Linked DNA regions of Stegostoma tigrinum. The protein of the gene in region 1 purifies or fractionates together with the protein of each later gene. This does not show direct contact. Links are inferred from orthologs where the notes say so. Each region holds a gene or a part of one and is shown on either strand. Other genes may lie near its edges. The genes, in order: lrig1 and receptor tyrosine-protein kinase erbB-4-like.

Evidence for each region.
Region 2: the proteins of lrig1 (region 1) and receptor tyrosine-protein kinase erbB-4-like purify together in Homo sapiens (affinity purification with western blotting; 3 studies listed by BioGRID and IntAct, with this or other methods). This does not show direct contact. The link is inferred for Stegostoma tigrinum from reciprocal best matches to the Homo sapiens genes LRIG1 and ERBB4.

Annotation. Positions count from the first base shown.
Region 1 is NC_081364.1:45,974,292-45,991,299, forward strand, and holds the start of lrig1 (leucine-rich repeats and immunoglobulin-like domains protein 1), read left to right. Parts: upstream 1-7,959; 5' UTR 7,960-8,216; coding exon 8,217-8,428; intron 8,429-17,008. UniProt on the Homo sapiens protein: Acts as a feedback negative regulator of signaling by receptor tyrosine kinases, through a mechanism that involves enhancement of receptor ubiquitination and accelerated intracellular degradation.
Region 2 is NC_081360.1:9,775,988-9,792,950, forward strand, and holds the start of receptor tyrosine-protein kinase erbB-4-like, read right to left. Parts: upstream 8,296-16,963; 5' UTR 7,988-8,295; coding exon 7,912-7,987; intron 1-7,911. UniProt on the Homo sapiens protein: Tyrosine-protein kinase that plays an essential role as cell surface receptor for neuregulins and EGF family members and regulates development of the heart, the central nervous system and the mammary gland, gene transcription, cell proliferation, differentiation, migration and apoptosis.

The DNA.
Region 1 (17,008 bases):
TGTCACATGTCCTCATAATGTAATAATGAAAGAAGATTTTTCCCCAATAAACAGACCAACATGGAGGAGTAAACTCAACCTTTAAACCTTTAAAATGGGAACACATGTGAGTGCCTTTAAGACACCAATTTCAGCTTTGGATGTCCATTTGGAATGAATTATGTGTTATCAAAAATCCATTATACTACTAATACTGTAATGAGTTACACTGAGCTGTACAAAGAGAGTTAAATCTGGACCCACAATAGCCTAGAGTGCTGTAACCTAGCAGAATTCCCAGATTTAACAAATAAAGAAACCTTCTTTACTTTCAGCATCTTTAAAATTATACATTCTATTGTATTCCGTAGTACTTTGATAGCACAAAAACATGTTCTTACTTTTCAAGTAAAAGATTCTTGCAAATTATTCCTTAACCTGTTATATCTACTTATGGTAAAAATAATAACCTTTGAAAGTTACTGAATTATTTTCTTAACTTTGTTTAAGATACCGCTTCCTAAAATTTGCAAAGAATTGTTTCTGTTCTACTGAAGAGCCTTCAGTTGCTTGATGCTTTTCAAAAGAAGCACAGTTAGATTTTTAAAACAGCTTCAGGTCATGGTGTACAGAAAAAAAAAATCAATTCCTCATTGTAATGGTCTCAGAGGCCCTTATAATCCATCACACAGGGTTTAATTTTGACAAGTATTTTTCTGCTGTTGTACCTATTAAACTTTGTGTGGTTTTATGCAGATCGTGTCTCAACCATCCAATCTAAAGGTATTATATAACCACCACTACAATTTACACTTACTTATAATCTTATCTAAGATAACACAATATTTAAGTAACAAAATAAATTATTTTCAATAATTCTAGAGTCATTAACTTTTGAGATTTGATATTCAAAAATATCCAAGACCTCACAGTCATATGATAACCAATTTCAAGGATACAATCCATCTTAAATTGTTGATGCATACAGAACAGCCAGCATGCTTCAATGCATCAGTGTACTATCTTCATTTCTATATATATATATATTTATACACTAAGTCACATTCCATCCTGGCTTGGATTTACTTAAAAACAAAAACAGAAATTGCTGGAGAAACTCAGCAGGTCGAGCAGGATTTGTGGAGAGAAAGCAGTTTACTTTTTGAGTCCAGTGAGCCTTCAGAGCTGATAGTAGCTAATAAAATGCAATGTATACACTGAAGATGCTGGGGCAGGGGAACAGGGTCACAGAGCTGGGCATAAAGGAGTAAGTGCTAAGTGGACACAAAACCTACAGGCGCAGTTAGGCAGATACAGTGATAGATGATGGTAAGCCAAAGAAAGAAAAGCTGATAATGGGGACTGTAAGAGGGTGAAAACGGGTTGGCTTTGCTTAAAGCAGCCCATGTAGTGACAGGGCCCTCATTATGGGGGTGGATAGATGATACGAAAGAAGGCCCTAAAATGGTTGACCTCTATATTGAGTCCTGAAAACTGAAGGATCCCCAAGTGACAAAGGGATTGATATTGATTTCCATTCTTGACATTTTGCCAAAATCTTGGAATTGTGTGGTATAAATAATCATTACAAAGCAAACCCATCATTAACAGATCTGTAAGTCTGCAAATTGGCACTCTTTTCAATTTCTGACACTTGCCGCACTGTACTAATTCAAATATTTCCTTTCAGTCCAAGCCAGACCCACTTCTATCGCTGGAGAAATTCAGCAGGTTGGGCACCATCTGTGGAGACACCGCAGAACTGAGGAAGGGTCACTGAAGTTGAATTGATAACTCTGCTTTCTCTCAACAGATGCTGCCAGATCTGAGTTTCCCCAGTAATTTATGTTTTTGTTTTCAGAATCTGCACTTCTTTGTTCTGTTCTGCTTCTATTGCAGCTGCACAATATTCCAATGACAACCATAACAACTAAAGACTAACCTCACTACAGTAAACATAAATACATGTCATAAACAATTTAACATTTCTGAAAATTCACCTCCAAATGAAAGGGAGCACAAAAAACTTAAACAAACTGAAGTAATCTTTTGCATGAATTATAACCAAACAACAAATACTAGGAATTATAACAGCACAGAAATAAACTGTACTAAAGGTAAACATGTAAAAGTCATATTCCTCACACAAAGTTTTTGGTTAAAAGTAAGAGGTCAACTTTAAACTGAGTAGCATTTTGGTGAGGTTGAAATTCATCTTCTCTCATGACCTTCATACTACAAAGGTGCCAGACTACTACCGCGAACCCCATCCTCAAAAGTAGTTCAAAGTATTTTTAAGTTAGTGCTGTGGTAGCCTTGACATTACATGTTCATGTGCGCAGATGCAAGGGGCTGAACAGTCACTTTCAAGATACTCTATTATATGATTCTATCAAGTAAGCTTGCTCCAAGGTTAGCTTGATTTCAGTTGTAAGTGGGTGAGAAATGTAAAGAGGTTTGCAGTTTCCTTTTTAATTGCAAAAATATACCTTAATCATCAAAAAATCTCTATCTACATTCAGAGGTACTAAATCGGTTCTGTACAGTCTTTGCGTATCAAGAAAAACAAACATTGGAATTTGACATTTCCTGCAGTTGCAATAACAATGCTTTTCTTATTCATGAGATTATTTACATACATTGAGACATTGAGAGAGTCTGATAACTGAACAGATCCTCATTAAACTTTTCCAGAAATACCTTAAACGCTGGTCTTTCCCCACTGCAATCAGGTAACAGCTGCCCCAAACTTTAGAATGCCCTTGAGCAAATAGTCCCGGATCTTGGAATGCGCGAATCTGCAACGCTTGGTCAAGGTCAACTCTTTACACGAGAAGGCCAACAGATTTTGGGCAGACCATAAAGCGTCTTTCACTGAGTTGATGGTCTTCTGGGTGCAGTCGATGTTTGTCTCAGTGCGTGTCCCGGGGAACAGCCCACAGAGCACAGAGTCCTGCATCAAGGAGCTGATCTTGATGAATCTTGACAAAAATCATTGCATCTCCCTCTTTGCAGAGGCACCTTCAGAAGGAGATATGTGCTAATTTCTTCGCTAGCATAGCTGCTTTGACAGCACGCAGAAACTGCGAGTGCATGAAGGGCAGTGCCCTTCTCACTACCAGAAAAGTTACATCTTGATGCTCGTTACAAAGTTCTCACAATGAAGCATTCTGCCAAATGACTTTAACAGTCTGCTCAGGGAACCACGCGATAGGACCAACCTTCTCCTTTTCCCACAGGGTGTTAAGAATGTTATGAGCTGACTACTTCCTGATAGACTTGAAGTTAGAAGTGTTTTTCTTTTCAACTTTTTCCACAAAGGATGGATGATATGGAATGATCCACCTACTTGAAGCATTCCGCAGCCAGGCCCATCCTTTGAAACACCTCGGATATGTAGACCCTCAGTCGATAGTAACACTTGGTGTTTGCACAGGGTCTACGCACAGTTTGTTGCAGCCACACACAAACCTAGCCGTCAAGATGAGAGCAATTGTATGTATGTCCTTCCCCATAATTATCTAGACCTTTGTACATGGTGTCCCTGCAGACACAGTCCATCATTGACCTCCAGGTGAAGTGGAAGATGGCTTTGGTGACTGCAGTAGTGCAGGCTCAGGAAATGGGCCAGATCAAAACCACATGCAACAACATGGATAATACCTCATGTCTGATGACCAGACTTTTACCAGGAATAGAGAGGGACCAGTGCTCCTATTAGCCTAATTGCTGCCTCACTTTGACAATATGCTTCTTCTAAGATTTTGCACATGCCCCAGTCCATCTGAAACATTTACCCAGCACCTTCAAGTGATCTGTCCTGGCACTCTTCTTGCTAAATGTCAGGATCAACTCATAAGGTGAGACATATAAAGAATTGAATGATTTTCTCCCTCAGACGTCAGGGGTGGCTTTTGCATAGGATTGACCATTATTCAAATTTATTTTGTATGCTAACAGCTGAAATAATTACTAACCACCAATCAATTAGGAAAAGCTATAATTTAAAGTGTCACAAATGAAAGATTAGCAAATTTATTTTTAAATTAGATAAAAACTTAAGTTAGCATTTCCTGGTTATAATTATTTCATTTGCATTGTTTATGCATTGCTCTGTTATTTTTACCTTCCTGTAAAATGCTAAGATGACAATACACCAAGAAAAGTACAGAAGCAAGCAATTACTTAAATCATACAGATTCAGAGCCTATGTACACAAAAACACTGCCAAAGAGATTTAAAACGTACAAACATGTGGGAAAACATTTTAACTTTTCTTTCTTTTTACTATTTGTCCAATTTCCCACGTTGGGAAACAACAGCTTGCAACTATTTAGATATAAAATACTAATGTCAAGGTCCACCTATATATTGCATGTGAACATGTTAGATACCCTGCCCACTCAACTCTGCAAAGTCCTCCTCACTACTATTTGGGGACCTAGTTCAAAGTTTACAGAGAGTTCCCACAGATGAGTCAGACAACGGCCTGACATAAGCACAACACATATCTTTCATTCAAATACACAGGCTCCTGCATCACCATCAGGAGCTTTATTCAGTACCATCAAAAAGAGAAACCCATCAGGAGTGGCTGCACAGTTGAATAAAGTCAGAAGGGGAGGCCACAGGAATTTTCAACATTGACACCAGACAATATGAGGTATCATGGCATCAGGATAAACAAGGCAAGGAAACATCCTGTAGAGTATCATGACCTCCTTCCTTCAGACAATGAGTCATTACTCCTCCATATTAATATCATGGTCAGATAATGAACCGAGCCATGGCCAAATTCATCAAGACATGGTCTGCTTTCAGGTTTCTCTGCTTCCAGCACACCATCCAAGTCACATACCACTGTGACTTTGAAATATATTCCCATTTCCTTTTTATTGTTGGATGGAGATCCTCACCACAGGGCCACCAACCACTTAAGAGTCAAGCCCACCAACACCACCTTCTCAAGTGCACTTGAGAATAGTCAATAAATGTGGCCTGCTGCCACTTGATTAAAAAGAACATGCATAATGTATCATTGCATGAATAACATCAAACAAATATATTTTAAATATTTATTGCAATATACTATGAATCTACTCCTCACATTACCAAATTATAAATAATAATAACTATTCTTACAAAAAGTTGTCTAGTATTTATCATGAATGTAATGTGAACAACTACTTCATTAACAGAAACCACATATCGTGGAGTACCTTCATTGTTTAATGAATTATGAAGCCCAAAATTCTCACATATCACAATTACCACTGAAGGTAATGAAAGCCTTTTTCAATTACAAAATACAAAATTGAAATCCTCTCATGTTGAAAATATTTTGTGAACATTAATATGCAACATGTTTATCTGAAAATAATTTTAACGACAGTATTGCAATGAGCACAATGTTGGGCACTCACGTTGCAAATGAAGAGATTTCTATTTTACACTGACCTAACCTGCTGACGTAAAACTTCCTCAACCAGACCCTGGCGTGAAACAGAGGGAAAACTTCGGGAAAATCGTTTCGTTCGTTTTATGTGGGACACACGATGGAGTGTAAACCCAACTGGACTATTTTCTGATTGACAACTTTGTAAAATATCCAAGAGTCCAGTATATAGATTGTAAACTTAGCTGGCACCGTTTTAAGTTATTAGTGAGCCACAACTCCCATCCGTGTTTTTCAAATACATAAAATTTCAAAAGGTACAGAAAAAATGATCAGTGACACACGCAAACACACTCGCTCTCCTCAGTATAGCACAGCTGAACTTTCAGCCAGGTCGGAGTTGAGCAATGCAAATAGGCTCTGCTAGCTGGAACCCAATCAGTTTTACACCATTTGGGGCTGTGCTATAAATACATATTTAGATAGCCATCAAGTACTTCCGCATTTGACTGTAAGTCGTGAAATGTAAAGATAAGGTTTGAGTTAACAGACGTGTCTTTTACTCTCATACAAGGACTAACAATTCATTGTACGCTCTTTTTCGCAGCGAGTTTCCATAACCGAATCCATTATCAAAATATTTTGAAAATTCATCTATGCTGCGCGTGAAATACATGTATATATTACTAACAATGAAATTGAAATTCACTTGGTGACCAATAAAAGCTAGTTACTTTTGGATTGCGCTATCATTCGACCATTTAGTGTAATTTCGAAATGGAAAAGAGAGCGGGACGGAAGCAAAGAGATGTTAGATAATTTACTCTAAAAGGCGAAAGTCCATGTTGTGGATTTTTTTTTCACATTCCGGTCACAACTGAATTCTGGCCGGGCTTTAGAATGATTGCTAGTGCGTTTCCAATGAATAACGTGTCTTTTATTACTGTACAGTGCTTGTACTTCCGGCATTCGCCTCCCTTTTGGACCTTATATCGGTGTTTTAAGCGCTAAACTCCCTCTGTAAAACTTGTTCATCGATATCACTTATTTAATTTTTTTTTGACGATTACTGTAGCTTTCATTCGGTACGGTCACGAAACAAGTTAAATGACATATCATTTGCGGCTGTCACTCAGATCAACCCATGTCCACTCTCTGAAGACAACGATTCCGACAAGACCCCAATGAGAAAGTGATATGAGCAAATCAACTCAGTTTCGGGAAATTTACACATTCATTTCAAGTCGGCACATATAACAGCAGAAATTCTTACTCACATTCATATTATTGGACACGTTTTTAATGGAGAAAGATCAGTTATATTCCGCGTTTGTAACAATAAACAGATCGAACATGAGCCATAATAAAACACTGTATATACTTATGATCCTTTGTGTATCATTTAACCATCCGCTCTGACGGCTGTCAAACTGTTCCCAATTCATTGACGAGTGTAAATTAACTGATTCCCAGTCTAACTGGATGGATTTTGCTCATTTGTGTAGTACTTTAACAGCTACCACACAAATTCCATATATATTAATGAACGAATAATGTTGCAATTACAAATATAAATTGTTGCCGAAGGTTTAAAAAAAAGTACCATTTTGCTCAACAAAGTGCGGTTTCTAATATTTGCACTGACTACTCGTACTTAAATATGAGAAAATGTGCTGTTTATTTCTGTATCGCAAGGGTAGATTGCCAAAAGGAGCAAAGTTTTGAAAATAACAAACTCGTCAGTTAAAGGCGGCTCTCATCGAGTTTTATCTTTCGAAATTTTGCAGAATATTCAAATTATTCCTATCCTATAACTAACTGTCATTATTGCTTTAGCACAAGTATCTGGTAGGAGTTGCTATAACACCATCAGGATATAAACTATTTAACAATGTTATAAATTCACTTGCTTCTCTTGAGAAAGGACGGAAATTATTGTCTGCCCACCTTAACAGCGAGCTATGTCCTCCAAGACTGTGCAGTGTTTTCTTGAACATGACATGTACCTGTGGCCTTTGCTGAAGACACCGCCGAAACTTTGGCGCATTATAAACATCAAAAGTATCTAAAAGAAACTTTTCCACGTAGTTCAGCTGGTTGCTAAATTAACTGGTCGATTAAGCGCCGTGCTGTTTTCGAATTTCAGAATTTACATTTACTCCGCTTATGGAAGCTGTTTGCTTAGAACAGCCATAGCAGTCTATTTTCATATTCAGGTAGGTGTGTTTTTGTAACTCATGGACATATCATTTGGTTCTCAAAGTGTGAATAATGCGTTAGATGACAGCGTTAAAATCGCGCGCTCTCCCTCTCTGTCTGATGCGTGCAGTCAAGACAACAGGAGGCTCCCGCTGGGCACTGCCCTTTAAACGCAGTGAGGGGCTGGAAGAAATGCGAGACTTTTCACACCCGGGCCTGGGAGCAGGGTAGGGGGATGCGAGGGCGGGGAGGGACCCACCGGGACCCGCCCTCTTACGGCCAATTTCTGATTGATGTTCCTTAAAACCAATAGATGACGGATTGTCATGAATGTTTGTTCACATGATATGGAAGTTGGACCAATAGCACGGAAGGAGGGATGGAACGCCCCCGCTGCATCCAACGTGGGTCGCGGCTGGCAAGCGCGAGTGGCTTCACATTAACGGCTGTTCGCAAATGGTCAGCAGGGAAAATTAGTGCGGAGCAACTCTGTGAGGCTACGGCGGGGGAGTTCCCGCTGAACTCGGCTTTCTTTCGAAGTAGGGGAGCGAGCGAGTTACCTACCCTCACTCAGCCGATCGGTGTGTGGGCTGGAGCTCTTAGGTTGTGTTCGTGGAGCGGCGGTCACTCGGTGCGAGGCAAGATGGCGGCGCTGCTGCTGCCCCTGTTGCTGGCGTTGAGTACCCCTCGGCCGGCCGCGTGCACGGAATCGGAAACTGGAGGCGGCGGTCGTTCTGTCACCCCCGAGGCCTTGCAATGCATCCCGGGCTGTACGTGCAGCGGGGAGCAGCTGGATTGTAGCAAACAGGCCTGGACTCAGATTCCCCGCCAGCTGCCTTCTTGGGTCGTCTACCTGTAAGTACCCTCGAGGTGTTTTCATCATCTGCTAGGACCTGTCAGGATTGGGATGAGGAGTGCGCAATCCACCATTTACCGCCTAGTGTACATTGCACTGAAGCTGCAGACTTCACGGTCTTTACCGCAGCCTCAAATACACCGATCGTAGACATGAATAGTTGGCATTGTAGTTTTCAAAGAAATTCGAATATATGGTCACTTTCTTAACTTTCAAATGCCTGTACACTATAATTATTCTCAGAGGCGAGCTTTGCTTATTCCTTGATATACAGCGATGCATGTTCGTCAATGCAAGTTCAGGAATGTGGTATTTATTTGTGGTAACGTATCGGACCTCGCAGCGAGCATGGGTTGTGCTCACTTCTGAATTGTTGCACAATGGAAAAATAAGTAAGGGTTTGTTGACATTTGAATTTCTTTCATCCCGAATACAATCTACATATTTGTCTAGTCTAAAATCCTGATAGATTTGTTTATTTTGCATTCTTTCGCCTGCTGAAAGGGGTGCAACTTTAGTACAGCGATATCGTAGTCTTGCCAGTAGTTCTTCGCATTTTTGAGTTTCGAGTGTTGGGGTTCGTAACTGTTATGAAGCAAAATGTGAACGAAAAATTAGCTTTGGTAAGATGATGGGATAAAGGATCGTCAGTTTTCCTCAGCGTTTTGCGTCACTTGAGATTGAAATTGGTGACCGTGGAAAATTCCATAGTTGGTAGAAATTAAGAAAAATGGATTGGTTTAGTTATTTGAAACTTGTGGTTTCATTATCAAATCACTTAAACAGCGCGTTTTACAAGAATCGACCATTAAACAAAAGGAGACTGTATATATACGTGACACTTCGTTCAGGATATTAACCAAACTATTAACAAGCGAAGATAATTCTTGCAATTTACCTTCAATGTGATTTGTTGTGTGTTTTGTTAAACTTTGACTTTACTTATTGTAGCATCTTTTGCAACTTCTTCTTTCTTGGCTATTGCGGGGTGACGGGGCTAAATCTTTGGAGAGCTAATTCCATAACTAGGTAATTAGGCGGCTCACTTGTGTTCGCTGGCGATATAGCTTTTCCAGAGACTGCTCGGTTCATTGTCACTGCGACGTGGTTCTCATTCACTTGGCTGTTGCCCGGAGATGTTGATTGGCAACATGCCTGCGTCGAATTCAGTGCACATATGGTCCTAATGCTCGTTGCAGCTTTGCAAGTTGTGTTGTAGCTATGCCGGCATTTGATTTTTCTAATCTTGGTATAAACGCATTTAAAGTGGAAGTATATATCCGAGTGTTAACCTGCATGGTTTCTATCTTCGAGGAAACTTAGCCTCTTTTCGCGACTTTGTGGTTAGCTTAGTTCGTTTAGATTTTTCACTTTTGAATGCACTTTAACAATATTGTCTGGGCACTGCTAAGAGTTACTCCCTTCGACATTTATTTACAATACGGGGATTTTGAGACGATAAGAAACAAACTGTTTTTCCAAAATGAGTCTGGTGACAAATTATTTCAATTCTGAAATTATATAGTGCTTTTTGTTACCTTTGCTCAAAAAGGCAGAACTATTTGCCAACCCTTTTAAGATTTGCAAAACTTAAAAAAAACTCCTCTTAAAGGCTTAGCAAACTTGTTTATTAAAATAAACTGCCCAAAAATAAGGTAATAATAAGTTCCCCTTTATTCAATGTTATTGATCTCAACTGGGTGATATTGACCTCTGCTTGCTTTTGAGGAGGGTAGCATTGATCAGAATTCCCTCTTCTGATCATTGGTCAGTGACTCATAACGGAAGTATTAATGGACAGTGGATGTCTGCATAATTGGTTATGATGCATCCCACAGTCAAATAATGATTTGAGCCAACTGTCTAGTTTCTTCATCATTAATGAGATGAGAGTGTTGCTGGTTTTGCAGCATTTATTGCCCACCCCTAATTGCCCAGAGAGCATTTCTGAGTTAACGACATTGCTGTGGATCTGGAGTCACATGTAGGCCAGACCAGGTAAGGATAGCAGTTTCCTTCCCTAAAGGACATTAATGAACCAGATGGCTTTCTTCGATTGACAACGGATTCATAGTCATCATTAGACTCTTAATTCCATATATTTATATTGACTTCAAATTCCACCATCTGCTGTGGTGGGATTTGAACCTGAGTCCCCAGAATATTTTCTGTATCCCTGGATTAACAGTCCAGCAATAATACAGCTAGGCCATTGCATATAGTCAAATAACACAGAGACAAACCCTTTGGTCCAACTCATCTGTGCCGACCAGACATCCCAATCTGATCTAGGAGGTAGCAAGAACTGCATGTGCTGGATTCAGGGTCGATACAGTGTGGAGCAGGAGGAATACAGCAGTGTCCTGATGAAGGGTCTAGACCTGAAACATTGACTCTCCTGTTCCTCTGTCACTTGTTCCTCCAGCTCCACACTGTATCAACCCAATCTGACCAAGTCTCATTTGCCAGCATTTGGTCCATGTCCATCTCAACCCTTCCTATTCATATGTCTCTGTGTGAAAAAATGACCCCTTATGTCCGTTTTAAATCTTTCTCTCCTTGTACATTAAACCTACATCCTCTAGTTTTGGACTTTCTCTTTCCCACCCTCCTACCCACACGTGCGCACGCACACACCGCACCACACATGCTCCGCATGTGTACATACACACAGAAAATGGCTTTGGCGATTCACTGTATCCATGCCCTTCACGAATGTCTAAAGCCGTCCCAGGTCACCCCTTAGTCTCCGACTGTCCAAGGGAACAAAGCCCAGCCTGTTCAGCCTTACCCTATCTCTCGAAGCCTCCAGTCCCAGCAGTATCTTTGTAGATCTTTTCTACACTCTGTCAGTTTAACAACACCCTTTGTACAGAAGGGCAACCAGAACTGAACGCGGCCTCACCAATGATCTGTACAGCTGCAACAAGACGTCCCAGCTCCTTACTCAATGTTATGACCAATGAAGGCAAGCCAAACACCGCAGTCACCACCCTGCCTGCCTGTGACCCTACTTTCAAAGTCTAAATTGACATTTTACAGTGATCATTCAGTGATTTAGTTTTGTAGTTCATCCAAAGTCAATTTTTCCATTATAACAAAATGCGGAGCTGGATGAACACAGCAGGCCAAGCAGCATCTCAGGAGCACAAAAGCTGACATTTCAGGCCTAGACCCTTCATCAGAGAGCTCTCTGAAGGGTCTAGGCCCGAAACGTCAGCTTTTGTGCTCCTGAGATGCTGCTTGGCCTGTTGTGTTCATCCAGCTCCACACCTTGTCATCTTGGATTTTACAGCATCTGCAGTTCCCGTTATCACTGATTCAATTTTTCCATTAACAGCTTTGAGGAAATTTTGTATTACCTGTAGAATATATTCCAATAACCTTTCAAAATTAAGGACCAATGGTTTGAATTACACATGCAATTTCTCTACCACTTTCAGTTCTCTTAATTCCCACAGCCTGAGTTGAAAAAATATTTTTCTCTTCCCTATTCCCATATTGACAAAGAAAGTTTGTATTGCTTAAAGAAACATTTTTGCATGAATGGAAGTCACTGACGAAAATTGTTATTGTCATCTACTGTAGAATTCTGTTGAACTTTTAGTCAAATAAAATTTTGCACTGGTTTGAAGTAATGCAGGTTATGATCATGAGCTTCTGAATTTCTATTTCTCTCTTTAAAATTACATTGTGGTAAATGCAAATTGAGAAAGTGTAGAGAAGTCTTCCTTCCAAACGTGTTTTACAATCATTGTGTAAATGTACATTGAACAAGGAGTGATCTGCAGGGAAATGTTTGCAGGAAGGTTTGTGCCATAGTGATTCAATGTTATAAATTTACCGTTTTCAATAGCTGACAAACTACTAGCCTGGATATAAAAAAGCAAGTTGTAAACGTGCCATGTTGGTCCATGATGTTTGGATTAAAAAAGAAACCTTCTATCTTGGCAAGCAATCAAAAAATAGTAATTTTCCAAGTCTGATCAGAGGTTTTGGCTAAAGCTTTTTCAACCTGCATATATTCCTTTGCTAGAGAAAACTTTCACACCAGTTCAAAAGTACTTTAAACTTGAAAATATTATTAATTCATAGTTACACAGAAATTGAATCTTAGTATGTTTCTCCTTAATTGTATGAGGAAAAATGAGATTTCAACATCAAAAGTTTTGGTTTTTTCGCATAGACAGTATTACGAGTTAAGAAGTCACATGCCTGTACATTTGTTTAAATTTCCTTTAGAATTTTGCATACCTTTATGAAAGTAGGCTTATAGAAAGTTAATGTCTGACCTTGATTTTGGTGTATATTAACAACAGTCGAAGACTGTTTTAAAATCCTTAAATCCTAAAATTTGACAATTATGTTTTGCTTGAATTTTTTTTTGTGGATTTATTCTTTAGACTTGAAAGCTTCTAATGTCAAGTTCAAATTTACATCAGCCAAATGCTTTGAAATTTCAAAAGAATAACATTTAACATTACAAAAAAAATTCTAAATACTGCTTATTCTTCCAATTTGCGATTTATTGTTTGGTAACTTGTAACAGAATCAACATAGAACAAACAATAGTGCAAGTCATCTACATAGTGTACAGTACACTGAGTAGGTATGTTTTTTAAAAAAAAACTACAATTGATCAGATACATTTGGAAATCATTTCACTAGTATTTTTCTTGAAACCCATTCATTAATACAGGTTATTGTAATTTTTTTAAAAAAATAGTTTGAACTAGTTGAATGAGCTCCAGGAAGTACTGGGTGAAAGAAGTGTTGATGCTGAATTTAAGGGAAGCACCAATTGTGTGAATGTGTTTTGACAAGTAAATCTTGAGTGGTGTTTAAAATTACAGTACATTTTTGTTATATGCAATCGTTCTGGTACTAAGCTGGAGCTTTGTACCTTCATGGTGGAAAATCTCATTAAACTTCACATTTTTTCATTTATTCAATGTAATTATAATAAGTTCTGTTGCATAAGTGGTTCGCTTTCCCTTTACATTTCTGTTATCTCAAACAACAATGGATGTCTATAGGGATTTCCAGAAAGCATTTGAAAAAGTCTTTTACAGGTGATGAAAGTAAGCACATGAAATGTCTACTCTCTCCTTCTTATGCATGTCCTTGCGAGATAATCAAAAATTAGTGGTCACTTTTTTAAACAAAAAAAGTTGGGTAGCCTATTTAAGACAGATGAAGCAATTTTTTTTCTAAAAGCATCGCAAGTCTTTGGAACTTTATTGCTTAAAAGGTCATGGAAGCAGGTTATCTAAATATTTTTAAGGCAGTGATGGATTCTTGGTAAGTGATGAAGTGACTGATTATTAGGGGTAGGTGGAAATATGAATGAGGTTACAATGAAATCAGCCATGATCCTATTTAGTGGCAGAGTAGGCTCAAAAGGCCAAGTGGTTTACTTTTGCTCTTGGTGTCTTGCGCTCTCGGTCACTCACTCTGACGTTTGCTGTTGTTCTCTTGCTCCACTCCCTCTGCCATTCACTGTTGCGCTCTCTCTCTCTCCGCTCCCTCTGTCGTTTGCTCTCTTGCATTCGCTCTGTCTTTGTTCTGTTGCTCACTCGCTTGCTCTGTCACTTGCTTTCTCTCTCTCTCATTCTCGCTCTGAGTGTCTCATCCTCTTTATAATGTCGAACTGATAAGATAATTACTGATTACAAAATTGACAGTTGAAGTTCACTTTGGATGTGAGCAATCGGTAATTTCCATTGGAAGATTATAGGCCTTGGAAAAGGGAAATGTTTGGTACTCAATGCGCATGTTGCTAATAGCTAGTGTTGATGTTGAGGCTCATTAGATTACATTACAACTGTAACTTTAAAGTTAGAGTAAATGAAAGTGTTCTCGTGACATGTTCTGAAGTGTGCCTGACAAATCTCTGTCTGTAGTTTGATTAGGGTGGTTGGAGATCAGGGAAGGACTAGATTATTTTGCTGAGAATTATGTATAGTGCAAGGTATTTGTGATTGTGGACAATTTTGAGTTTATGTAGGCCCGCTGGGGTAGCGTTGGTATTGGATTGTTAACGGATGTACTATAAACTTGCCTGTTTAATTCAAAGACAAAAGGAAGCTGTATCAAATATAGCTAATTAGCTAGCTGCAATGCTAATGTGTTGCCATTGTCCTGACGTGGCTAATTTGAAAAACAAATATTTGAATAGACTTTAAATTGGAGCTGGATTTGAGGAATTCAGAAACAAGTGGCTAGAGATGGTCATTCTGTTATTATTTGGTGAAATGGGAATACAGAAATCTGTTGGACGCTCAAGTAACGTGGACTTTTAAATGGGTGAGGAGTATAAAAAAAGGTCACCCTGAGTTTCAGTTAAGGTCGCCAGCCAAAAGAAAATAATCTTTAGTCATTGGTGTTTTTTTCTAAATAATTTGTGACAGCAAAAGCCTTTATGTAAAATATTGTGCCTTTTTGCCAAGCTAATAATGGGAGCGTTTTAATAAAAACTGGAATTTCAAGTCTCTTCATACAAGTTATCAGTCTTCCCAAAGATCATAGCAATGGGACACTGGTGCAACAAAGATTCATACTTAGAACTGGGCCATTTATGAACAAAATCAGGAAACTCTGTTTAAGTTAAGTAGGTTGCAGAAATTTGGAAAATACTGTGACAAAAGGAAACAGAACTGATGGAAACTTCCAAGCTTTCAAACTTTTTAACTGGAATAAAATTGATTCTAATTCATAGTTTGATTGAGTTCTATGATCTCTTGATTCACGTAATATCACAAGACTGACATCAAATTAGGTGATCAGTCTAATTTTGGGTTTGTATGGGCTTAAAGGGTAAGGAGTGAGGTGTAAGGGACTTGTCTTTAAAGTATGAAAAGGAACTCTGATAGATTAAAACAGGGCTATTCAGTCCAGTTAGTCCCACCCCCTTATACTTCATATCCTCTCACTATCTCTTCTGTAAATATATATCCAGTTCACCTTTTGATGCATACTATTGGATTTACGATTACTGTCCTTTCAGGCAGTGCATTGCAGATTATTGTGTCCAGCTACTGGTTATTGATAGGAAGGGAAGTCATTTTTGAGCAAGACCATTCTTGCATTATGAAACATTGATTTAGGAGACATTCTTGTTTTGACAGTATTCCACAATATACAGATTGAGGTCTATATTTTGTTCAGCACTAATACATCTGTTTTTCAGGTATTAATATTTAATTTTGCAAAGGTTTTGTTTGCTAGGTATTTACAACAGTCTGCATATAATGTGCATTTTAATAATTGTTTCAAAAGTGTAATGAACACCACAAGGATAACCACATGGCATTGAGAGAAGCTGAAATATCAAAATATAAAGCACATATTTTTTAAAATATCAGAAAAAAACTTCCATGATTCTTTTTCAATCTTCACAGGAAGTGAGATCCTGATCTTGTAAATTTTTAGTTTAATAGGACCAGTGAGATTGTCATTGATTTTAATACCTGGTTTAAAACCACTGAAAATGTTAAGTGAGCAATGTGTGCTTAAATAGATACGTATAAAGTTCATCAGTCACTCTGCTGATTGCATCTGAAAGATTGTAACAACGCACTGAGTAGAGGAGCAGGATAGTAGTAATAACAGCTTGTGGATTTAGACTGCACATAAGCACATGGCAGAAGACAAGTTTTATACAAATGACAGTGAGCACCAACAGTTTTTTCATCATGTAATTGCAAATTTTAGGCCATTGTGTAGCATATTTTCTTGGAAATTTTAAGTACTGTTTAAAACGTAACTATGGTAAAGTAGAAATGTAATGACTAAAATGCATGCAACAAACTTACTTCAGAGCAGCACTTAAGATAATGTACAACTTTAAATATACTTTTCAGTTTCAAAAATCCAGAACAATTTACACAAATGTTAGTAAGGAAGAAATCAAAATATTGAGGAATTTCAGGTGTAATGCATTTGTTTTTTTGTTATAAATGCTTTTGAACTCATTGTCCTGTGAATGGAAATATTTCAAAGAACCAAGTGCACAAATGAATGCAAGGTAGGGGATCTGGTTCAGAATAAAGATATAATTATATCCAGTGTTTGGGGCATACTATGAAGCAAATAATATTGTTTATTTAATTTGTTCTCATTAAGCTGTGCACTTTTTAAAATTTTCTTCTTGCTAGTTTGATTTTCACCTTTCACGGCATGTATGTAATTGGAGGAAACAACATTTTGTAACTAAAAAATGAGAATTTATTTTTCAATTACATTACATTTTACTGAAGTTGGTTTAAAAATGAATATTGTCAAGAAGAACAAGAGAGATCCTTGTTCTTCAAGTAATATATTTGGGCTTGCATCGTCTTTAGTTGTAAGTGGAGTACTTGTTGCCCAATTTGTTCACTTCAAGTTATGTTATCTTGCACTTCCTGTGTCAAGCTTCACCAGTTTTTTCTCTAGCTTTTTTTTCAGTAATTTTTGAGTTGCCTACCCAAATTCCATTTAAAATTGAGTCATAGTCATATGGTATAGAAACAGGCCCTTCAGCCCACCATGTTGCTGTTGATGTAAAAACACCTCTTTTTATGGCGAACGTGGTGGTTCAT
Region 2 (16,963 bases), on another chromosome or scaffold:
AAGAAAAGGGCGTTTATTTCAGAAAGACAGCAGAGCTGCCAGATGGTTACAGTACAGGTTGTGTGATTAGAGGTCCCAGCCCGTTCTGCTCACGGACAAGACACTGCTACATTGCAAATCTCATTCTCACTCAAAATCGCGACAAGCTGACAAGGGGCTGTGTGAATACACACTCAATTCTAAACTGCTGTTCAGATCTCCACCCGCCTCCCCCCCAACCCTCGCCCCGTGAACAAAGATGTGTTTCTGTTCTTGCTGTCAGCAAAATGTTGTGCTCCAGGAGCATGAATAATCTTCCTCGGTTATAAACACTTCTTTTGTGGTTGTATGTGTAACATGGGGAGTCTTGATTTGTACCTCAAAATCGAAAATGCAGGATTCCCGTTTCGGCATCCCTCACCGGCTCGGGAAAATTCCTAAATATTACCACCTTAATTCATCCAAACTTAAAAGATCAGTTAGCTCAAATCCAACGCCCGGTACTCTCGCATCGAATCATATCCAGAAGTGAACATATTAAAGCAACTGGCAAACACGCGCGGGTGAGAATTCTCTCGCTTCAGTCCTTGGTTAACTTGAGTTAACTGTTTGCTAACACTGATGCCATAAACAAAATTTACTTTGGTCGATAAAACGGCACAATAATAATCAGCTGCGTACACTTTTGCAACAGCAACTGAGATCATTCTCCGTACGAGTGTTGTTATCAGTACAAGTCACGGCCAGGCTCAATAGAATGCCGATTTTAGAATGTGTCTCGATGATAGGTCCGGTCCATTATTTTGAATTAAAGTTTAATCTTGATGTTTACGGAGGTGCTGCAAAATGGGAGATTTAAAGTCGTTTCGGTTGTCCTGAAGGGGTTTAATTTTTCTTCGTCACCTGCAAGACCCCCTCCCCCTGCCCACTACATTCCCATTGAAAGGCAACTCTGCAATATTGCCTGCTGTGTGAGCTGCAGTTTACCGGTTAGCTAACACTCAGACTGGCAAAAACTAGGAACCTGCCTTCCTTCTCGGGTCAGTGTTGCTCGTCACAGATACACAAATCTTTTCTGACCCTGTGGGAAGCGAATAATATATAAAAAAAGGCTTCTTCCTCTCCCGACAATGCACGGGCAGAGAGAAAAAAAAGTTTTGCCGATTTTTGTGTGGAGTCTCGCGGGACATTTGGGTGCCTCGGGCGACTGGAAAGCCCTGCTCCAGGTTAACAGGATCGGTCCCGGCTGCCCCAGGAGGTGGGCGAGAGTTCAAAACCGTCTCTCCCCATTACCGACAGCATGTTGTGAAGAAAATGGTCCCAGAGATCCCCCCCTCCCCCATGATCTCTCCCATCCACACACTCAAACCCAATACCTAAGCTTCCATCACAAGCACATCGTCCTGAGAGTTTGCAACCTTTACTGTGATGAGTTCGGCTGTCTCCGTGAAGCTCACGGGGCGTTGGAGAGCGCAATGAAGGAGCATTTGTTAGAATTCGCGTTGATTCCTAATTAGCTTTTAAAACAAAACCCGGCAGATTCGCGGAGTAAGTCCCGTTTGAAGTTCTGTTTGAAATCCCTGGGAGCAGTTCGATTTCAGGAATGCGGAATTCCACCATCAGACCCTCAACCCGCCGTATAGAAGGCAGGCAGCCGGGATAGGGGTGTGTGGTTAGCCAGGGTTAGTTGACTTCCCTCCTGGGTAAAATGACTTGCGTTCGTTTGCAACTCTGGCGGGTTGGGGGTAGGGGGAAGAGTTATTACTGTGAGAAACACAGGATAAGCGAGCACCCTGCCTCACCCATTACAACTGCCCATTCCTGACAGCTCACCCAGTTCACAAACAATTCGACTTCACCCGCTTTGGGTTACCCAATAATTTCCGGGCATTTGAAAATAAACACACACTCCGGTCGGGAGAGGGGGAGAGAAGGAGCGTTAAGGGAGTAAGTTAGCCGAGTTACTCACAATGAATGAAATGCTGAGGGTCAGTCACGAAGTGACTCATTAGGGAACTAACTGCGAGGAAGGAGCGGTGGGGAGTTTTGTAATGAATTCTTGAACGTCTGCTCTGTGGCGGGACGACAAGCCAGTGACTGGAGGTTTAGGTGGGCGGTGGGAGGGGATGGGTCTGTCTTTAGAAAGGAACAGTGGGCCACAGCTCTTTCCGAGAGACAGCGTAGCCCACAATGGGCCGATAGCCCCCGATGCGTCATTCCATAGCCAATAGCTTAGATTTTAATTCCCAGTGAAATGACCTATTTAGAAAGCCATTCGCTCACAGCGTAGTTCCGCTATAAATCACCTTTGACCCATTTGATACGAATGCACACTCCTTCAGGAGGTGAAAGAAAAATTGAGTGAGGCCATAAAACCCAAGTGGACAGGGTTGTTAAGAAGGCATATGGTGTTTTGGCTTTCATTAACAGGGGGATGAGTTTAAGAGTCGTGAGATCTTGTTGCAGCTCTATAAAACTTTGGTTAGACCGCACTTGGAATACTGCGTCCAGTTCTGGTCGCCCTATTATAGGAAAGATGTGGATGCTTTGGAGAGGGTTCAGAGGAGGTTTACCAGGATGCTGCCTGGACTGGAGGGCTTATTTTATGAAGAGAGGTTGACTGAGCTCGGACTCTTTTCATTGGAGAAAAGGAGGAGGAGAGGGGACTTAATTGAGGTATACAAGATAATGAGAGGCATAGAAGGAGTTGATAGCCAGAGACTATTTCCCAGGGCAGAAAAGGCTAACACGAGGGGTCATAGTTTTAAGCTGGTTGGAGGAAAGTATAGAAAGGATGTCAGAGGCGGGTTCTTTACACAGAGAGTTGAGAGCATGGAATGCGTTGCCAGCAGCAGTTGTGGAAGCAAGGTCATTGGGGACATTTAAGAGACTGCTGGACATGCATATGGTCACAGAAATTTGAGGGTGCATACATGAGGATCAATGGTCGGCACAACATCGTGGGCTGAAGGGCCTGTTCTGTGCTGTACTGTTCTATGTTCTAAAACATAGAAGTAGAAATTAGGCCATTCAACCCATCGAGCCTGTTCCACCATTCAGTCATGGGTGATAAGTTTCTCAACCTCATTCTCCCGCTTTCTCCCCGTAATCTTTGATTCCCTTGACAATCAAGAACCTGCCTATCTCCGTCTTAAATGTACTCGACGTGGCCTCCACAGCCTTCCGTGGCAATGAATTCCATAGATACACCACTCTCTGGCTGAAAAAGTTTTACCTCATCTCCGTTTTAAAAGGCCTTCCCTTTGCTCTAAGGCTGTGCCCTCGGGTTCTAGTCTCTCCTACCAATGGAAACATCTTCCAAACATCCGCTCTCTCCAGGCCATTCAGCCTGCTGTAAATTTCAATTTTGAGTCTATTATCTTAACATAAGGGAAAGCTCAGCAGGTCTTTGAGACTACCAGGTTTAGGGCTGAATGAACACAGCAGGCCAAGCAGCATCAGAGGGAGCAGGAAGACTGGCATTTCGAGCCTAGACCCTTCTTCAGAAATCCTACTGTCTCAGAGATCTTTGAGACCTACTGAGTTTGCCCTCTTCATTCACAGACACCTTATGTACGAACAATTACAGTCAAATGTTGATCAAAGCTGTCTGGGATAAACAGGTGATGTAGAGAGTGAGCTCCTGGGAGCTGAACAACGTCCACACACAGTCCTCGCGCTGCTAAACTCCGCTCTTTGTAACGGGCTCTGATTCCGATTCTCCAGTCCAGATTACTGAACTTTTACTGACTGTCATAATCTCAGTGAGTTCAACATTTTGCAAGCCACTCTCTCTTTCTTCCTCTCGCTGTCAGGTTTCGCGAGACGAGCCGGACGGAGCTGATATGAATCGCTATTCAAAGATTTATCAATTTCACATCCAGTCCGTGGCAGCTCGTTTTTTAAAAAAAAGAAGCGAAGCAATTAAAACTTTCAGCGGCCTTGAAAGGCTCGAGGTCTGCAATGATATCACATCCATTGACCTTTCTGAATTGTGGAAACGTTGAGAGAGAGGGAGAGAAGTCAGTTCCTTCACTACGCGATTGGGATTCCCTCCCTGTCTTTATCTGTAATTTATTGAACAAAGACAATCAGTTGGAACAAAATGTCAAAGCATTTCCTCTCTTTTTACACGGTTTAAATTCCATATTTCAAATGTTTGTCAGGAGGATTTTTTTTAGCATGCGAGTGAATGCATAATCTTCAGTTCAAATTGATTTGAATTCCCCTGATATATGTATATCGTGGAGAAACCTACTTTAAAGTGACACACGCCTCTTGGGCAGGGACGCCATCTCTATTGAGTGCAGTTCCCAACTCTGTCAGTGCTGTGCACCATCTCTTTGACAGCGATTTGCACTTTGAATATCTGGGTGAGCGAATGAGAGCTAGGAATATCTACGCACGCTTTGCCTGCTCTGTAAGACTGCACCGTGTCTCCGTGGCAGGCACTTTACCGCTGCCTCTCGATTTTGCAATAACAAATATATAAAACCATGTTAAAGCCTAAAAAAACTGCTTTTTAATCAACTTGTCAGTCTCCAGCATTGCAAGAGGAGGCAACAGGGAAGCGTTAGAGAGCCTGGAAGCACTAGAGACGATGCAGGGAAGATCAGACGATAATGATGTCACAGATGTTACAGGGAGAGTAAAGCCTCTTGCTGTGAGGCCAGACAAAGTCACCAAGAAATCCGGCTCGGGAGTAAAACATGCAGAAGTGCAGTCCTGGACGAATAGTGCAAGCTGTATAACCCAGACAGGGACACGGGCAGGAGGAGAGCCCAGTCCAGAGTTAGGATGGTGGGCTGAGCGATGGGGTGGAGGGCTTGGGTGAATTACAAAGATAGGAGCAGAGTGGCAACTGCGCTTCTGTGTTCAGGTTGCTGGCGGTGGAGGTGTGTGTGTGAATTAGGAAGATTCTCTGACTTGCCTAGTTCGATCTAGCCGTACTCTGCGGCCAGGCCTAGCGGATATACATTCAGGAATCCCTCCATTGTGGACGCAGGCTATTCGGTCCATCAACTCCACGCAGACCCTCCAAACAGGATCCCACCCAGACCCAACCCTACCCCTACAACCATAGTTTATCCCACCTAGCCTGCACATCCCTGAACACAATGGGCAATTTAGCATGGCCAACCCACCTAACCTGCACATCTGTGGGACGTTGGGAGCCCCCGGAGGAAACCCATGCAGACACGGGGAGAGTGTGCAAACTCCACACAGGCAGTCGCCTGGGGGTGGAATCGAACCCGGGTCTTTGGCGCTGTGAGGCAGCAGTGCTGGCCAGGAAGAATTGGACACACAGGTTCCTCAATATCACCTCTCCCGCGGGAGTAGCTGGGGCGGGGGTGGGGGGTGGTGGGAAGTGGTGAGGGGAGAGGAAGGTGGTTTATCTGGAGACTGGTGGCCACATCAAAAGGTGGGGGTGGGCAGAGTAGATGAAAGGTGCAGGCAAGAGGATGGGGAGATGAAGTTATGTCAGTGCAGCACAGTGAAAGCAGTAAAAACAGCCTGTGCCAGACAGTTCGAAAGGCTGGGCTGCACTGACTCATTGAACAGACTGTTCACTGTGGCCAGTGCCCAGTTCAGCTTCCTGTTTGCCCCATTCAGGGATGGGTTTCACCCCCCCCCCCCCCCGTCCAATCCCACCACAGATTCCGTGAGCAAAAGCCACGCCAGGCCGTGGTGGCCCAACGGGAAAGCCCCGTTACCAGCCGATGCCCCAGCTCAATCCCGATCTGCATTTTAAAAGGGGACCTTCTTGCTCCCGCATCAAGCCTGGCAAGGCGTAACCCATCTCGTCTCAACACCCCCGCGGCTCTATCCCGAGCGTGCGGTCTCAAGGAGCAAGCCATTCCCCAGAAAAGGCCGCGTCCTAAACTATTCCTGCAGGACTTGCCGTCCAGACTGTCCCTGTGGGGGAGATGGAGGGTTGGGTGGGCAGGGGTTGAGGGGGGGTGTGTTACTCTTGAGAAGTTGGCGAGCAGAAATCCCACGGCCCATCTGAGTTGAAACCAGCATGGGACCCTGGTGTTTACCAGCCGCCAACAGTCCCACCTGAAACCTGCCAGGGGAACCTCTTATCTACCTCTCGTCCCCGCTGATCTACCCATCAAATCACGAATCGCTCCTCTCCTGGAAGGCGCTTCCAATGTTTCAGTGACGGTGCCCCTTTATCATCCGCGACTGTCAGATGCGCCAGTTGATGCTCTCTGAGCAAAGCCGCTTTCTCAGCGCCTGGAAACATCCATCAAGATCTCAAAGCGTGGACAATCACTTGGGACTGCATGGGGGCGGGGGTGGTGGAGGAGGCTGATGACACTCTCCCAGCACTTGTTCTACATTGACCGGTGTTGACAAGTGAACGCTTACTCAAATAAACAAACAAATCACCCTCGTCAAAACCCGTAACTTGCCCATGGCTGTCTGCCTGGTGGGGCGGCTCAAGCTGTTTGTAAAGCAAACCGACGAAGCTTCTGTTGTGCACGATAGGTCTGACACAGGTCCCCTTCCACTCAGCCCCCTCACCCACCCAAACCACCTCACCCAGTCTAAGGGAAGATCATTTTTCACGTCAAGCACTGGGCAGTGCCGGGGTGAGGGTGGGGGGGGGGGGGGGTGGTGGTGGCGTGGGCGAGGGCGGAGGAAGTAGAGGGAAGACAGCCACAGTTTGGGCGAGAATGGTCAAGGCGAGGGGAAGGGTAAGCCGTGGGCAGCGTGTTCTTCTGGAGACGAGATGTTCAGCACTGTGTCTTGTACTGTGTGTGTGTCTGAGAAAGAGAGAGACTGTCATCTCTGGACTGTATTGCGTTGGCTTTTCTTCATCCTGACTGGGATCAGGCACAACAGCTGAGACAGAAAGGCTGAAAGAGATGGGGGCTAACTTTGCAGCTTTTCCCGGCTGAGGACAAAACAGGCTTGGGGATCTCTGATGTACTCCCCAACTCCTCTGGTTGTAATGTGCGCGCCCACTCCCATCTCATTCACTGAGGCTGGATGAACAATACACAAAAACTCTCCGCTTGTAACGACTGCCCGATCTTACGTGCGGGTCGAAAAAGCGCACAGCGACTCTCAGGTTCTCCCTTGTTTTTTTCTCTCGTTTAATGTGAACACGATGCAACCGAAGCCGCTGTTTCAACGAGCTCCAAAAGGCACGAAGGCGGCTTGGTGCCCGTCCAGCCACCCGTTCATCGTAACAGATCTCCCCCGGTCAGGTCATCCAAATGTAGCCGGACCCGACTTCAAAACACCCTGACAACTCACTTGGCCCCCCCATCGCATCGTTAAAAGTACTGCGCTCCCATCTAACTTCAAGCGTATCTAACAACGCAATGACAGGCTGTCTCTTTTTTTGTCTTTTAATTTGTTTAATCTCAAAGCAATTTAGTCGACGCTCCGTGGCATTTTGGTTTGGAGTTAACCCGGGTTCGTATCTCCCCACAATCTTAGACACAAGATACCGCAAAGTTCCCCGGCGGATTACAGCCGGCGTTCATACCACACTCTCAAGGCTACATGAGGCGCCCCGCTCCCCACATAACACGAACTGTCAGTTGCCTCCACATTAGATACTGTTACATGACTCAAAAGTTGCAAAACCCGTGAGGAACACTGAAGGTAAATTCACATTGTTGCTACACTTGTACGCCTCTTAGTAACCGCGGGGCGTGATTTTGTGTGGCACCAGAATAAAAACAATGCCTCTGCACAGACAACCATTTCAGACAGGAGCTAGGGCAATCGCAACGAAACTTTTCCCTCACACCCAACTTTGCCATGTCAATAATCGTGCCAGACAGACAACGCAGAGGAGGAAGGCGCTAACCGACACTAAACCGCACCCCCCCCCCCACTACAACCACCAACTACCAACCCTTTACACACGCACATATACACAAAAGCAAGAAAGGACAATGTGTCTCCTACCTGACTGTGAAATTACTTCCTGCACCTTCAACGTTGCACAGAAAACACTCACAAACAGAAGAGCGGCCAACTTCATTTTCTCCCAGTTATTTTTTTCTCTGGCCCCTCTCTCTGTGTTGGTACGGGAGCGGCTGTGTCAGACAGTCTGTGCATTCAAAGCAAAAAAAATTACATGACTACCACTGTATCCGCAGAAAGTGAGGGTTAACTTTTTTTGCTGTTGCTGCTGGGGGGTTTTTTGGGTTTGTTTGTAAGTTGCTCCCTCCTGTTGTCTCGGTGTTATGTTTTAAATTCAGAGCGCTGTTTCCGCGCTGGGGGTTCAGTGCTTCTGACCGGTCTATGTGCCAGGCTTGCTGCTCATTTTCTCTCTGTCTGTGCCCAGTGCAGCACTGCTGGATTGGTCGCTCTCGCCCAACAGAACCATGAACAAATTCCACTCCGGTGCCCCTCCCCGCCCCCCTATCAGCTTCATTGGCCACTTCACCAATCCGGCACCTGCCACCTCTCTAACCATTGGCTCCTCCGCACGTCCGTCAGGGAAAGTCGGCCACGCCCCACCACCTCCCCGCCTCCCGCCCCTCCAAAACACCCCACCCTCTCCAGGCAGGGCATTCAGGGATTTGTAGTTACAACTTTGTGACCATGCCATCGCTGCTACTTTCCGACTCGGAATTGTATAGGTGCTGACCGTTTTTTTAACCATGGTATAGTTTTGCGATGATCACTTCTCGGGATAATTGCCTGGTACATTGTGGAGATATGGGGACCTGTGCCCTGGGGAGAGAAGTCGTGGTGGAGGTGGGGGCGGGGGTTGGGTAGTCGTGGTGGGTTGGGATGCTACTCTAATCTGGGATTATGGGGTTGACTGAGCCCAAAAGCGTAACAAGTGTCGATCTTCGTTCGCATTCCTACAAACCTAGCCAGCTGCACAAACCGAGCAGTTTACAATCGTGTATTTTCACATCCCAGGCACAAATCATTCAGGTAACCCCAGCGTCCATTTGATTTACCATTCTGAATGTTATGCATTTGATTCCACACGGCGCATTCCCATGCATTCCCCGGACTTGCTGCATACAATGGCTATGTTCATTACTATGTGTGCATACCCAGAGTGTAGCCTTTTAGATCTGCATGCGGTCTCTCAACGCGTAACAAAAGCCCAGCATTTAATATACTGTCGTTTTAAACATTTCCCCGGAGAAGAACTTCAGCGTGGAACCCGAAAGATTCAGGGTTGACCCAAGTGACAAAACAAAAGTGTCTGGCGAGACAGCTCGCACACTTTTCAGACGCGCACTTTTTCTTGTGGCAAATTTCTCACAAGGCTTGGAAGCAAGCGATCGTTTGTAAACAGACGCAACGTGCCAGAAGGCGCAGTGCAATAAACACTCCCAATCGTGGACTTGCCATCTTCTGAATGTTTTTAACTGCAGACGATTTTACAACACACGCACGCTCAATATTTCATTGTTTGCTCCCTAAAGTGAGAAAATCGCAGGATGAACCGAATTAGAAACCAAAAGAAATTTTAAAAAACCCAAAACTACGCTTGTAAAGATAATTCGTGACAGTAGACGTTTTGTATTTTCCTCTCTTCCCCAGAAGTGTTATCACACACAACTGAGCGACATTACCTCACCAAAATCAGTGACTGTCTTTTTTTAAACGACTATCCGTTACCATTAAAAAAAAGGACCCCTGCGGTCACTTCGATATTTACATGCAAAGCTTGCTAAGGGCAATGCGAACCATCAGAAGTGACAACAGATGTTTTAGGAAAAAACTGAGAGCAGTAAATATTCACAACTGGGTTTTTTCTTTCAAAAAAAAGTGTCCCAGCCCGTGAGCAGTATAGGAGTTGGCGTTTCTGAGGAATTTTGCAAGTTTGGAGAATGCGTGTCGTCTCCATTAGACTTCTGCTGCATTCCAAGTGTGCCACCGACAGAAATGCTTCGCTCTTTTGACTTCGAATCTTGTACCCTGCATCGCAGTTTTACTTTACGGATATTGTCAATATGTCAGCGCTCCCTAGTGGTACGAGGGAATCTGAGGCAAATCGTATTCAAATCGCTGATTTAAAAAAACCCTTCGTTTTAATGACACCTTTATGATTTCTGAAAACCGCTTCAGCTTTTAATTTCCCAAGATGGCTCGGTTTTAATTTCTTCCCGGACTTTGCTCGATTTTATCTATCCAGAAATATTTGCAATCGTTTGCATTGTTTATTTTTGTTTTTTTCTCTCTGTGATTCTCGCAACATTTCCCGTGACCTTGAATTTAGCAAAATAAATGCGTATGAAATCTCCTATTTTAAACCTGAGGCAAATGAAAATATAATAACGTCTTGGGAGGTTTTGCATTTGGAAGTAGGGTTGTTCTGTGTCAAAGTCGGTGCCTTTACATGTTTCACGCACAAGCAATGTTCAGATTCTATTTGAACAATATTAACATTAGAGGCAAGAGTTTTGTTTTAGATGCATACATGGTGAAAGACGTCGCTATTTACAAAAAAGGTTTTCTCAAATGTTATTTAATTTTTGAATTGAAAATATTTCGGGCTCTGTCCATGTTTGTTTTCGTCCGGTTACTTTATTTACTTTTTACTATCAGCGTTTAGCTTTCCAGTTAACTGCTATTCCGAGGTGGCATTATAGCTCGCCTCCAAGGCAATAAATTCTCCGACGATTTCCAAATTTTCGATCACCAATAATGTCAGTAAGTGTGGATTTGTACAAGCTTATCATGACTGAGCATTGAGATCTGCTGTATTTTGGCTTCTGAATTTAAAAAAATCGACCAATTTTTAATGCTGGGGCGGCCTAATTTTGATTAAGTTTATTTGACCTCTTTTTCCCCATTTTTCAAGATTCTTCAGGCTCTGTCAATATTTGATTTTGACATTTTTCCTCACGTTCTCTTTGTGTCAAATTCATAATTAGGTTTGTTGTTTTGCAATTTCCTGGACTTTTTGAATTTCCAAGATTTGCTTAGGTTCACTAACATAAATATTTCCAAGCTCGATTCTTGCCCCCTTAATGTTTATGTGCTATTCTTTAAAACTATAAACTTTGTTGTATTTGTTACATCTTTCCAGGTCAGCTGTATGTTTGACGCGCCTGTTTTGATACTAATGAAGGCTAAACTACAATGTCAGTTTCATTTGCTACCGAGGCACTCTGTTTTTTTTCAGAAAAATATGTTTATAATTTTCGATTTCCTCAGATTTTGAAATTGGTTTCCACAGCTTTTGAGTGTTGCCGGTTTCCGGAACTGAGTGAACCTGGGTTTGGTGAATGAACAATGTGTTGGGTGGAGGAGGGCCGGGGAAAGACAGGGCGAGCAATCAATGACCAAACTGTTCATTCATGTCGGAGACGTTGAGTGCGAAACACGACGGGAACAATGGAGCAAGTATTCCAGAGACACCCTGTTGACGACGAAGCAACCAATGCTGAGTCCCTCATGCATTCAATGCTCATTATTGATCGCAGACTGACTGTTCCCAGCACGGACAGACATCATTTTGAGCAGGAGATGTTACAAATGCTCAGCGGCTCTAGCAGTATCTGTGGACAATTAACAAAGAAGAGTTCACTTTTCCTGACCTCTCTCGAGGACTGCACAGCCTGTAAAATTAACTCTTTGTAGCACTTATAAGAATCTAATTTCCATTTGGATGCATCCTTAAATACTGCTCCCAATACCTTCAGGCATATTCTTCATCCTTATCTTTGTCTATCAGTTAATCTCTTTTGAATGTTGGGCCCAATTGGAGAGATCCTGGCTTCAAAATCCACGATTTCGAAGAAAGAGAGCGCATTGTGTGACCGCACGCAGTATGGCCACTTTAGTATGGATCTATCCCAGCACAACTCAATTAATTAATTAATATTGTCATCGATAAGGCTTGTGAATGAAGTGCATTTTGATTGCATGCATAGAATGGTAAGATTGGACATCTCAGCTACAGTCCTGCAGACCCAGGCACCAGTTCCATGTGATCTGACCTCACAATGACATTGCCCCTTTTGCACATACTCAGTAACTATACCTAGAGTGAGGGTATAATTAACTCTAGAATTCTATTCAGTAGGATTGATGTGAGGAATCCTGTCTCCACGATAAGTATGGGCAAGGCTGACCTACAGGCCAACGGAGGTGCTAGGTCAGATCATAAAAGAAGCCAGCAGGTCTGCAGCAGCCAAGCAGTCTCTCTCTCTCTCTCTCTCTCTCTCTCGTTCAGTTCTCTGCAGTAAGCCACTTTAAGCCTGATGAAAGCCTCAGCAAATGCTGCAAGTTGGGACTTCAAATTGGACATGTCAGAGACCTTTCATAAGTGAACCTGTGACTCTTGCAAATCAGTGAAGGCATTTGGAAGAAGAAATCTTTGGATCAGAAGGAACCAACCCAAGAGATCTTGTGAAATTATACTGTGGAACTGTTTTCTAAATTTGCCCTCCATCCACGTGTGTCTCTTAACCCTGTTTATTTTTGTCTCTTGTATTTGTGTGTTTGTAAGAGAAAGTTTACAAGGGGTTTTGAGTTGTAATTTGAAGAGTTTTCTTAATTTAGTTGAATTGCTTATCTATAGCTAGAATCTAATCAGCTGTAATAATTAGTGACACTTACGAAGAATAGTACAGAACCTGGTCTGTGCTTTCTGTCAATCTGTGTCTAAAAATCAGGTAATGTGGATTATTTATATATTACTTTTCAAATCTTTAACTCTAGTGATGACTGCAGGAGGAGTGGGGTTTGATTTTCAGTGTGAATCACAACGACATGAGGAGCAACCTTTTTAGACATGAGAGTGATTAGTGTATGGAATGAACTGACAGAGAAAGTGGTGGATGCAGGTACAGGTACAACATTTAAAAGACATTTGGAAAAGTACATGAATAGGAAAAGTTTAGAGGGATATTGGCCAAACACAGTCAGCTGGGACTAGTTTAGTTTGGGAACACGGTCGACATGGAATAGTTGGACTGGAGGGTCTGTTTCCAAGTCGTATGACTCTAATAGTCAAATGCACCAAGGTGCTTGTCAGGACTGTTAGCTGAAGACATTTGCTTTGAACCACACAAAAATACAGGGCACCAAAAGCTTGATGAAATCACTTGTTTATTTGTAACAAGGAAGAAGGAGAGGGAGTTCGAGAGGCAGATGCTCAGGAAGAGGATTCTAAGGTTTTGGGCCCTACACACTTGGGAATCAAGACAAAACTGGAGAATATACTGGATTTTCACATGGAAGATTGGATGGGAAAAGCCAGGAAGCTGTCAACCTGTCACTTTCACGTTTTCTGTGTGTGCGTGCGTGTGTGTGTGTGTGTGTGTGAGAGAGAGAGAGACCGTGTGTGAGAGAGTGAGAGTGTGTGTGAGTGCGTGTGAAAGTTGTGTGTGTGTGTGTGTGTGTGTGTGTGTGAGAGAGAGGGAGAGAGTGTGTGTGTTTGTGTCTATGAAGGAGTGTGTGTGTCTGTGTGTGTGTGTGAGAGAGTGCGTGTGTGCGCACACGCACTGTCAATTCCCAAGTTCTAATTCCTAACATCGGGCATGTGAGCCTAGTCTAGGCCCGAAATGTCAGCTTTTGTGCTCCTGAGATGCTGCTTGGCCTGCTGTGTTCATCCAGCTCCACACTTTGTTATCTTGGATTCTCCAGCATCTGCAGCTCCCGTTATCTCTGGACATGTGAGCCTGCTGGTTTCCCAGGCTTCCTGAAACTTATGAATGAAATGGAGGTCAATACAGAGCAACAATTGAGGCAGTTTCAGCTAAAGATGTCAATAAGTACTCATTACTGCTTCCTTACCCACTCATGTTATTTCTGTTGAGAGGTTACTTGGTACTGTTTGAAGGCTCAGTGGCTGAGTGGCTGTGAATGCTGTTGTAGATTGGATCAATGAAAACATGGCCTTCTGGCTCACAGACCGGTAGCTGCACAGGACATAGGCCAGCATCAGACAAGCAGCCCAGCAGAGAGGTACAGCTTAAAACAGGCAATATCAATGAGACAGGATCTTCAGGCTGAAGGGCCTCCTGCAGTGCCATAATGATGCCACCCGAAGGTTGCAGGAACAGCAACCTATATTCCGCTTGGAAACCCTGCAGCCCAATGGTATCAATGTGGATTTCACAAACTTCAAAATCCCCCCACCCCCACTGCATCCCAAAACCAGCCCAGCTTGTCCCCGCCTCCCTAATCTGTTCTTCCTCTCACCTATCCCCTCCTCCCACCTCAAGTCGCACCTCCATTTCGTATCTATTAACCTCATCCTGCCCCTTTCACCTGCCCGTCCTCGCCGGACTGACCTATCCCCTCCCCACTTCCCCAACTCTCCTCTCCACCTATCTTCTCCTCTATCCAACTTCGGTCTGCCTCCCCTTCTCTCCCTATTTATTTTGGACCCTCTCCCCCTCCCCCATTTCTGATGAAGGGTCTAGGCCCGAAACGTCAGCTTTTGTGCTCCTAAGATGCTGCTTGGCCTGCTGTGTTCATCCAGCTCCACACTTTGTTGTCCTGAATTTAATTGACATTTCTGAGTAACAGTGCCTTTGGAGGCTGAGGGTGTCATGTCAGATGATGATAGCTGACTTTAAAAAAAGATCAATCATTTGCAAGAAATGGGTCCCCCTGACTAGGCCAGCATTTAATACCCATCCCTAATTGTCCAGAGAACACTTAAGAATCAGTCACATTGCCGTGGGTCTGAGTCACATACAGGTCAGACCAGGTAAAGATGACGGGTTCCTCCCTTAAAGAACATTAGTGAACTAGATAGGCTTTTCTGACAATCATCAATGGCTTCATGGTCATCATTAGATTCTTAGTTGTAAATTTTTATTGAATTCAAATTATAGCATCTGCCATGGCAACATTCAAACAGACAAGTCCACTCTCCCTCACATCTCTTTTACTGTAAGTACTCTATTCATTTCCAAGTTTCTCCACTTCCTTTGGTTTTATTTTGTGATAAAGTCTTCCATACTGATGTTTATATGGTTGTTACCTTTCTTTTCAAACAAGGATTCCTCCCCATCCTTGTTGACAGGGCCCTTGTTTGTGTTTGTCCCAATTTCAATGATTCAGCTCCAAAACCTTCCGCTTCGTTTGCCTCTTTGATATCCATGTCCATTCTTCAATCATCCCCAACAATCCCTACCTTTCCCATGGCATCTTTCCATGCAGGAGATGCAACACATATCATGCTCTCCTTGTAGCGCCCAAGGTCCCAAACACTCCACCATGTGAAACATAGTCTCCATCTTCTTCTTTGAATTTCAAATTGCCTGCTGTATACTGGGGAGACCAACCACACATTGAAATTGTATTGAATTGGCTTTATTGCCACATGTACTGAAATGAGTGCACTGATGAGTTTTCAACTCGCCGCTCATGGTGCCATCTTAGGTACAAGGTACCTAGGTATGGGTGTTACATTACAAATTCTGAGGAAAAATAATTTTAAAGATAAGAAAATACAATGTCCAGCATTACAGATTGTAGGAATAAATGAGAAAAGAGAGAAATAAGAAGTTCAGAATAATAGTCCTTCGAACCCAGTCCATGTTGGCACCTCGCCTCCAGTCCATGCTGGGCCATGACTCCAGGTTGTGCCAGGCTTCACCTCAAGGCTGGGAGGATGCTTCAGGACGGAATTCCATGCTGAGGTCATGTCAGTCCAAAAGGTTGCCATGAGTTGCCAAAAGACCACCCCGCTGGGCCGGGATCCACCATGGCAGGCTGGGACACTGTCATGCCAGGCTTGGAGGGTGCTGTGCCAGGCTGAAAGGACACCATGCCCAGCCAGGCGCTCTACAGAACACCTCCCTTCAATCCTCAAGCTTAGCCCTAGCTTCCCACCATTTTAATTCCCCACCTTGCTCGTTCTGTCATCTTTACTCTTTACTTGCATTACAGTGAAGCTCAATGCCAGCTCAGAAAACAACATCCTATCTTTCAACACAGTAGTTTACAGCCCTTGGTTATCACCATTGAGTTCAGCAGTTCCAAGCTGTAATCTCTGCCTTCACTTTGACTTTTCTTTATATTTGTAGGCCTTTATTTTGCTGTCTTAGCTTTGTTTCATTTTTCGCTTTAAGCTGTTTGCCATTTCAGCATTCACATCTCCTCTGGGCTGTATCCCTTACTTCTTAACATGTCCCATTACCGCTCTCTTGAGCCTTACACTACCAACCCTTCTGTTGTTAATTCTCATGAATTCTGCCCTGTCACAGACCTTACCTTTTGTTCCTTCCCCCGTTATTAGCTTAAAACTGTTGTCTGAGGAATCGTTTCGAAGCTGAAATGCTCACTATGTTTCACTCTTCACAGACTCTGCCTCATCTACTGTGTCTCAGGGTTCGTGTGAAGATTTGTAGCTCGGGTTGCAGATGGGCTGGTTGTAATTCAGACGTTTCGTCACCATGCTAAGTAACATCATCAATGCGGCCTCCGATGAAGCGATGTTGTTCTACTCCACTTGATATTTATGTGATCTGGTCTGTTGAGGTGTTTTGTGTCATTTCACTTTTTTGTAAGTGTTTGTATTTGGGATGTAATTCCACATGTTTATTGATTACATTATGGTCGGAGAACCAGGCCTCTAGGAATTCCCATGCATGTCTGTGGTTGGCTTGAGTTAGGATAGTCACGTCGTCCCAGTTAAATGTGGATGGTATTCGTGGATGACACATTTGTCATCATTAAACGCACTAAGTTAGAAGAGACACTCCACCCTCACTAGCAATGTATTCACCAGGATCAAATGTACAAGAGAAGAAGAAATCAACTTCTGTTCCCTGACAACAGGGGAGAATGAATGATGAACAGGAAATTCCAAACCACAGTATACAGGAAGTTAACCCACACTGATCAAATTCTCAATTTCCACAGCAATCAGCTCAATATCCACAAACAAAGCTGTGTCAGGACACTATTCAAATGGGCTGCAACACACCTTAACTTTGCAAGAAGTGGAAAGAACAGCTATACAAGGTCTTTGCTATCAATGGATACCCTACCAACTTCATCCGCAGATACTTACTAGATG